Linked DNA regions of Caenorhabditis elegans. The protein of the gene in region 1 interacts with the protein of each later gene in a pairwise test. Each region holds a gene or a part of one and is shown on either strand. Other genes may lie near its edges. The genes, in order: gpb-2 and gpc-1.

The links.
Region 2: the proteins of gpb-2 (region 1) and gpc-1 interact in a two-hybrid assay, tested with the Caenorhabditis elegans proteins (one study listed by BioGRID).

Annotation. Positions count from the first base shown.
Region 1 is NC_003279.8:7,317,662-7,322,906, reverse strand, and holds gpb-2 (Guanine nucleotide-binding protein subunit beta-2), read left to right. Parts: upstream 1-1,821; 5' UTR 1,822-1,958; coding exon 1,959-2,035; intron 2,036-2,082; coding exon 2,083-2,171; intron 2,172-2,719; coding exon 2,720-2,856; intron 2,857-2,951; coding exon 2,952-3,070; intron 3,071-3,302; coding exon 3,303-3,495; intron 3,496-3,538; coding exon 3,539-3,757; intron 3,758-4,049; coding exon 4,050-4,146; intron 4,147-4,248; coding exon 4,249-4,427; 3' UTR 4,428-4,617; downstream 4,618-5,245. Other genes in the region: F52A8.3 (uncharacterized protein), read left to right, coding at 1-149, 312-577; F52A8.1 (DUF2650 domain-containing protein), read right to left, coding at 4,858-4,947, 5,017-5,245. UniProt on the Caenorhabditis elegans protein: Guanine nucleotide-binding proteins (G proteins) are involved as a modulator or transducer in various transmembrane signaling systems.
Region 2 is NC_003284.9:12,880,518-12,884,107, reverse strand, and holds gpc-1 (Guanine nucleotide-binding protein subunit gamma), read left to right. Parts: upstream 1-1,678; 5' UTR 1,679-1,696; coding exon 1,697-1,779; intron 1,780-2,412; coding exon 2,413-2,518; 3' UTR 2,519-2,937; downstream 2,938-3,590. UniProt on the Caenorhabditis elegans protein: Guanine nucleotide-binding proteins (G proteins) are involved as a modulator or transducer in various transmembrane signaling systems.

The DNA.
Region 1 (5,245 bases):
TTGGTATGCCGGAAGGATTATTGGTATAATTGTTGGAATATGCCTATTGCTCTTTTGTTGTTGCTTACCATGTGTGTGTATTGCTGGAATTTGGTTCGCTGGATGGTTTGGGCTCAGAGGAAAAAATCAAAGAAAGAATACTCAACAAGGTATTTCAACTTGTCAATTTTAATTTTTCCAGTGGATATATTCTAGACAAAATTGCATTTCAGTTCAATCAAATTTCTTGAATTTCATAGATTTGAGACATTTCTAACTGCTTCACATACAAACTAAAAAATTCAGTAAAAATAGCCAATATTTCAGTTTAGTCTCATCTCCTATCATTGCCCAATCTGCTCCTGTTCCAATTCCTGTCAATTATGATAATATTCCTGGTAATGCTAATTATATTCAACACACTCGTCAAGCTCCACGTCAAATCCACGTGGACTCATCACCAAGAGATTCTGAAATATCTCGTGTCATGGTTCCTGGTGATCAGGTCATGTTCTCTGCTGAAGATCGTTATTATACCTCGTCGACGGCTCCGGCAACTGCTCACCGACCTGATGCCTACAATGTTTCTCGATATTAATTTTTCTGTCTTTCACTTTTTCTGCTTGTATATTACGCTTGAATAAATATTTTGAGTCTTAAAATTATTGGCACTGAAACTACCGGTGTACAAGAAGTGTCTTACAGCTACAGCTAGTCTAGATTTCTGGTTTTAGTGGGGAATTTATTTAAACCACTTCTATAGTGATAACATTGTTAATTATCAATATCATAGTAAAGCTTTTCAGAAAAAAGTTGAATATGTTTATGCGCTGTCGAAAAGTGGTAAATTCTCATTTTCACACATCATAACTCTGCAAGTAGACAGAAAAATATGTTTTATACGAGTTTCCTATTTTTCTTATGCCTTTTTTTATTATAATATTGTAGGTTTTAGAGCATTCCACAATGCTATTCCCTGCGAAGGATAAAGTTGCAAAAATTTGACAATTTTCCATAACTTATTTTTTCAAAAAACCTAAAACGATTGTGGGACTTTTTAAACTGGTTTTACTCAACTTTTAAGCTAACCTAGCACTTTTTTATAATTAATTTCACTTCACAAAAACCATCAAGACATGTGCATTGCCTAATTTTAACTCATCCCGTTCTTCGAGCCACTCTCTTTTCCACATCTCTTCCGTCTCTTTTCATCTTTTTCCCAGAAACCGCGACGCGACCGCATTGCATTCTCTTTCCATTGCAAAAAGGACCGCTCGGCAAAACGAGAAAAGAAATAGAGAAAATAGTGAAGAGGGAGAAGCGAGACATAGCGGAGTAAGGCACGCAAATAGAATTCATTGCACCATGATTTCGGGCCCTCGACGGCTTTTTGTCGTGGCGAATATAGTTTTGTCTTAATCAATACCATCAAATTTATGATAATTTAATGATAATGTAGCCACATCCATCCTATTTTTGAGCATGTTCAACAGAATAACTTTGCAAAAAAGGCTTTTACTTTTATTTTTTATAAACGTTACTTATAAAATGTGTGAAACTCCGATCATTGCAAAACCTTAGGCAAATATAAATTAATAGTAATGGTAGTACGATATTTTGAATTACCTTATCAACATGTTTTTGGTTTAAAATCAAATTCTTTTTACATTGTGCTCGTTTCAATTGTGCCAAACTGTTGTCTAATTTGTTGTTTCAAATAAAAAATTAAAATCCAAAATCATGTAAATGATCTTGATCTTCCTATATATTTCTTACATTTCTAGGCATGTCCTTTAAGAATTTGGCTACTTCAAACTTATTTTTTTAATAGCAATGTTTCAGGAAAAATGTGCCTCTAAACCTCAAACAAACCGCCCATCTCTAATTGTTCTATTCAAATTCATTTTCTTCAACCCTCAGTCTTCTCTTCCTTTTTTTGCATAATTCGTCTTCTGATCTCAAAAAGAAACGCAATTTGAATGAGCACCATTGCTGGAGAATCGTCTTCCTCGTCGAAAATGCCAGAAAACTCTCAGCCAACAACAACCGAAAAAGGGTATTTGTACATTTTACATTACAAAGGGTTACACTACATTATTTCAGATCGGAATATTTAGAACAATTGGCAAATGAAGCCGAAGAGCTTAGAAAGAAATTGGATCAAGAGAGGCACAAGCTTAATGACATTCCTAGTAAGTATTTGAAAAAAATTAAAAAGATAATTTATTAGAATACTTCAATTTAAAAAGAGGGACTTTGAAGAAGAACACTACTAAAAAATTGAACTTTACAATTCCTAGGTTAGAAATCCTCCGGAGTCTTTTTTCTTTGTTTTTTTATTGAAAAAATAAACTTTTGAATTAAAAGCTCACAATCAGTGAGGATATTGAATAAAAATATCAATGCGGTTCTTCATAACCGAATATTATAATTGCCCAAATATCAATACACACCAAAAATTACGTCTAAGTTTTGGTAAATTGTCAAATCTAGGTGAAGTTGGACTTTTTGAGAACTTGTTTGACTGAAAAAAGTTGAAAAAAGTTTTTGAAAACTTTAAAGAAATTTGAGTTAAATAATTTGATGAACAAAAAGATACCAGATATGCTTTGTGATATTTGCATAATTCTAAATGTTTTCTCTTTGACTTTTTTGAGGTTATGCCTAATTTACTATTACCAAGAACTACAGTAATCCCAAAACGCACTAAGTAGTTTTTTACATCCTAAGTAATTTTCAGTTCAACAAGCAGCCGAACGACTTGACGTTATGGGAGCTCTTGGTGTAAAACAGCGTCGAATTTTAAAAGGACACGTGGGAAAAGTATTATGCATGGATTGGTCATTGGATAAAAGACATATCGTCTCTTCATCTCAGGTTGGTTTAAAATATGACTTACAAAAGATTCAGTAGTCTTCAAAAATTGAAACCTCGATTTCTAAAATGAATTTGCTCAAATTAGTAAATTTTAGGACGGGAAAGTGATTGTATGGGATGGATTTACTACGAATAAGGAACATGCTCTTACGATGCCAACAACTTGGGTTATGGCATGTGCATTCTCTCCATCGAGTCAAATGATCGCTTGCGGGTAAGATTTCTTTCAAATACTTCAAAGCTTTCAAAAAATACAAACGGTAGTACACGGACTTATAGTGTTCATGAGAATTTATTGTTTTTTTTTTCAAATTATAAAAGAGCTCTTACAGACGGAATTTTCAAAAATTGGCTCATGTATACTTTACCAATTTTGAAGCTTTCATGTTATTAATTAAAAATTTTTATTATTATTTTTTGAATTTTCAAAAATTCCAATTTTACAGAGGACTTGATAATAAATGCAGTGTCGTTCCACTTTCTTTTGAAGATGATATAATTCAAAAGAAAAGACAAGTAGCAACTCATACTTCTTATATGTCATGTTGTACATTCCTTCGTTCGGATAATCTTATTTTAACTGGAAGTGGAGATTCAACATGTGCTATTTGGGATGTTGAAAGTGGACAACTTATTCAGGTTTTTTATTCTCGCGAATCGGAAACCCAATTCAAAAATTCAGAATTTCCATGGTCATACTGGTGATGTATTTGCAATCGATGTTCCAAAATGTGATACTGGAAATACATTTATTTCCGCAGGAGCTGACAAACATTCTCTTGTATGGGATATTCGTTCAGGACAATGTGTACAATCATTTGAAGGACATGAAGCTGATATTAATACTGTTCGATTTCATCCAAATGGTGATGCATTTGCAACTGGATCTGATGATGCTACTGTAAGTCACAAGTGTTTAAACTTCTTCATTATTGAAAATTGGAGAAGGGATGGGAAATTATGGAAGCCTTGCACGACCATGTGTCGAATTACGCAGCTAGTGTACTCCTCGAGAAGAAGTGACAATATGCCCACTTCTCCTCGGGGAGTACACGAGCTGCGTAAATCGACACATGGCCGTGCAAGAGAATCTTAATTAAATTTCACGGTTATTCTTCCATTTTTCGAAAATTATAGTTTGGGAGAAAGTCGCGAGAGTTGCTTGTTTTGTCTGAAAATATTACTTTTTCCAGTGTCGCTTATTCGATCTTCGAGCAGATCGTCAAGTATGTGTGTATGAAAAAGAATCAATCTTGTTCCCCGTAAATGGAGTCGATTTCAGTTTGAGCGGTACGTTTAAATCTTCACAAAAACGTATAGTCCAAATCAATTCAATGCATCTCTGAAATTCACAGAACTAAACTTTTCACTCTAACTATTAAAAAATTACAGGTCGTATTCTATTTGCTGGTTATGGTGATTATCGTGTCGGTGTATGGGATTCGCTGAAATGCGCCCGTCATTCAGTACTTTATGGACATGAGAATCGTATTAGTTGCCTCCGAACTTCTCCTGATGGAACAGCCGTCTGCTCGGCGAGCTGGGATTGCACAATTCGCATTTGGGCTTGATTATTTAATATTAATTTTTCTCTTACAATTTTTGAGCTTTATGTCACTTTACTCATCCCCCTTCCCACCAGTCTCTATCCCTGTACTATTATCTAACCATCCCACTATTTTCTCCTATCTCAACTTTCTAGTCACAAATACTGTAAAGTACTCGTTCATTGCTGAATGATGTAAATAGAATTCACTAAATACACCTGTTAAAATACAATTCAAAAAGGCAAGGGTGAACTGTGAGGAAAGGAAAATTACATAACAAAAAAGAAAGAAGTGTGGAAAGTAGAGTATTCAATGAGCAACGTATGGCAAATTATCAGAGAATATTAAAAGGAAGAAATTCAGTGAATTGGTTATAAAGAGAAAAGTGGAAATTTTGATAAAACTGTTGCCCCGAAGATTTGATGAAGAAATGTGAAAATTATAAGTCAAATACTTATGCGCAGCAGAAGCATCTGACGCAGTTGATGATGATCGAGAGAATCGTGCAGACGGCAAGGAAGAGAAGAAGAACAGTAACCCAATCCTGAAAGAAACAAATTTAGAAATTAACATATTTAAATTTCAGCAGATCTTTTGAAAAATGAATTATTACCTGAAGACGGAAGCAACACTGATCAGCAATCTGTCCGCAGCACTTGAAGTACCAGAAAACGTTCTCTTCTGGGCAAGCTTGTCCGACAACTGGAAGTGGGCATGCCAATGGACTCCTTCTGATCGTGAGTGGCTCAATCGATTTGACGTAGTCGAGAAGATCATCTCCTTCGGCACTGACTGATGGGGCACAGGCAAGAAGTGCCATAGCGAAGAGGAACAGTGGAAGA
Region 2 (3,590 bases), on another chromosome or scaffold:
TAATGACAGTTCGATATATAATTATACTACTTAATTTTCATTAGTTTAATTTTAATATTGCCAGTTTGTTTGACTATATATTTCTATTAGTTACCACAAAACCTAATCACCTTTCTTTGCAGCTTTGTCAAAATATGATTAGAGTATAAAACGCATAGCTCATTTAGTAACTATGGGCAACCACACCTAATAAAAGTTTGGATAAGAAAGCTGATTGGTACGAGTTATGCTATCTGGTTATGAAATGATGAAAAGAAAACATAAAACAGGTGAAAGTAAAGAGCGAGCTGCTGACTTGTTGAGTTTTCTGGACTCTTTTTTTTTTGTAAAGATTTTGTTAAAATCACGAAAACTCGACAGTAACTCTAGTATAGCTCGTTTCTTTGGATTTTACTTCTGACTCACGAAGCGTTAAATTTTGTTTTGAATAGTGAAGAGATTTATGTGGTTTATGCTTAACGTTTTAATTATGGGAGTTATCAGCAATGAAAGCTTTTTACATATATACAATAAGATCCATTTAAAGCGTATAAAAAGTTTAGTTCTGTCCAAATAAAAACGAAAATTGGGGTTTCACATTATTTGAGAACCTAGTTGTATAATTTTCAGTAATTTTCATATTCTTCTCAGTTTGTTATAATTTTCTGCTGTCCAACGCAATTTTCGTTTTATTAAAATAGCATATAAAATAATTTAATTTTGATTAAAATTCAAGAAATACTAAATGTGATCGTAAGCTATTAACTAAATACAATTTCGTGTTGAATATTTTCAAAGTCAGAAAGTTAATACAAATCATCTTGCCTGTTCCTGATTTTTTACAAATAACAAATCTAGGAATCGAGACAAAAAACCAAATCTATATTCAAATGGTCACTGACAAATTTTTGAATACAAATCCAATCAAAACAACTATAAAGAGTTGGATTCGATTCATTCAGTTCTTGTTTTGATCAACAGAGCTTTGCAAACTGAGTGATTTTTAGATTGAGAAAGAAATGAGTTAGTAGAAGTATTAGTTTTTAAGAATTTTAGCCGCAACGTATTTTGTATGGTTATTTTGATGAATTATTAAAAATTAACATTTTTCTGGCCAATTTGATATTTACGTATAAATTATATTGAATGTAGCATATCAAAAATATTCAAAAATGTTCAATAATAAAATCAATGTTAAATCCGCTGGCGCCAAAATCCCTCCGAATCCCCTGAATTGTGGATTGACTAAGAGTAAAAGGAAGAGAAACGAAAAAGGGAGGACGACTTAATCCCGAACAATATTTTTTATGATGAAGAGCGCATAGGGCCGTCGTCAGTTCTCACACTGGATTTCACTTTTTACCGCCTCTCTTTTGTCGTGAAGAGTCTCAGAATCCAGATGTAAAATCCTCTCCAATCTATTTATTAAACATAGCTCAGTCTTCAATCTTTTAATTATAAACACCGTTTTAGCACATGAGCTCTTCTGCCTCGAAACCCTTTAATTTCGACAAAAGAGCAAATGCTCCGATCGTAAAATTGGTAGTTTCACCCACCAAACCTACTCATTTTGCGTCGACACCAAACTTGTCTCCTCGCTTTTTTTCTTCCCAGCTACCTTACTCATTTCACCAGTTTTCGCTATTGAGAAGAAGATTTGTTTTATCATATTTTGAAAATTTATTAGCGTTTCTTTCAGTTCCAGAAACCATCTGAGATGGAAAACATCAAGGCATCAACCGAACAACTCTGTGCTGAGGCCAACATTCAACGAAAAAAAGTTTCCGAAGTTTCAAAGGAGTAAGTTATTTTTTATGAGCAAAGGTGATTTACATATGAGAATAGGTATCTATTTTTAGTATTGCTACTCCGAGACGTTATTTGGATAATTCTCATTATTAATGTAAAAATTGCACATTTCTTGTTGGTATTTTTTTTGTCTAAAAGTGTACTTTATATCCTAAAGAAAGTGTGATACGTAACATCGTAATATGGCATAATTTGCTCCAGTTCTTTCATCAAACTGTGGCCAGGTTCATTAACTGTGGCAAGCACTAAACTGTAGAAATAATGAATGTCGATATTTTATTGGTAGGCATTCTTTCAACGATTTTCTTTTTTTTTTTGGAAAATCAATAACTTACTCGAAAAATCTTCAAGGCAATCGAAAACAACGCATAACTAAAATTAGGTTACACAAAAGTATAGTTTTGAAATACTTCACAATTTTAGTGATATTTAGAGTACATAATGTCGTCACAACCATTTCGACAGAACCGACAGAACGACAAAATTGTTTCAGATGTTTGAATAATTTAAAAACGAATCGAATTTTTGTAACCATCGAAAATTACAAGAATATATATGACAATGTGGAATATCAAATAGCAAAAGTGAAATATTTACTTATATGCAATCAAACTATAATTTCAGACTGCTCGATTTTTGCGAGAAGAACAAGACCAACGACATGCTGGTCTCCGGGCCAACCGATCAGCACAATCCATTCCAAGAGAAGAAAAGCTGTTCAGTACTCTAAATTGATATCGCGCATTCAAATTTCATTATCTACCGGCATTTCAAGACACGTCCCGATTTTTCACAATTCACGTTACTGTCCATCATTTCTCTATTCATTATTGCTCTATTGTTTTAGCTACACGTTTTTGAACTCTCAGTCCACAAGAAAATCAACACGTTCACCAAATCTCAATTTCCGATCTCAAATCTAACTTGCAATCTTCTTGTTTTTGGAATTGTCTTCTGTAGCTATCTGCGCTGATCACTTCGATCTAGCCAATTGGGTTTTTTTAGCATTGGCTTCACAAAAGACTGTCATTCTGAAATTTTTCAGTAGAATCGCACTCTTTTGTGAAGTTAAAGCTTTTTCCCGCAAAAATATACTTCTTAATTATTTTTTTTTCTACTTTCCTATGCATCTATAAACAATAATTTAAAACATCAGACGTTATTATGAAAGGACTTGGAAATGAATTTTTGAATCATATAAAAAAGTAAAAAATCAAAATGTTATAAAAAATCAAAAAAATGAATAACCCATGATTTTTAGAAACGGCTATTTACACGAGACAAACGGTCAAGATTATTGTGAGAATGTTCATTATTTGGAAAAAACGTATAAAAATGTTTGTATGTGAAAAATGCAACCAAAAATTTCATTTTTTCATAATTTTAATTGACAGGAAAATCGAAGGTAGTCTTTTTTCATCCATACTGTTCAGAATTGCCAGGTCTGTTAGAAAACACTAGGCAGAGTAGACTAGTTTTTACGAATGTTTTTAAAATAGTTTGATAAATGAAATATAAAGACTCCTTTTGATTTTACCGTCATCAAAAATTTTGAAAAAAAAACAGCTTCTGGACAAATATTGCAAATATTAAAAATAATTATTTTTTAGAAACTCGTGCATGTGGCACTACGATTTTCTAACATTTTTTATGATTATGGAAAATGGAAAACAAAATCTCAGTTTTTGCCACTATTTTGGAATTCATCGATCAAAATAAATTCCATCGAATTTTATGGTCTTCTTTTATTCCAACTATTACAATTCAAACATTGTAGAATTTGAATACGCTACATTCTCAAA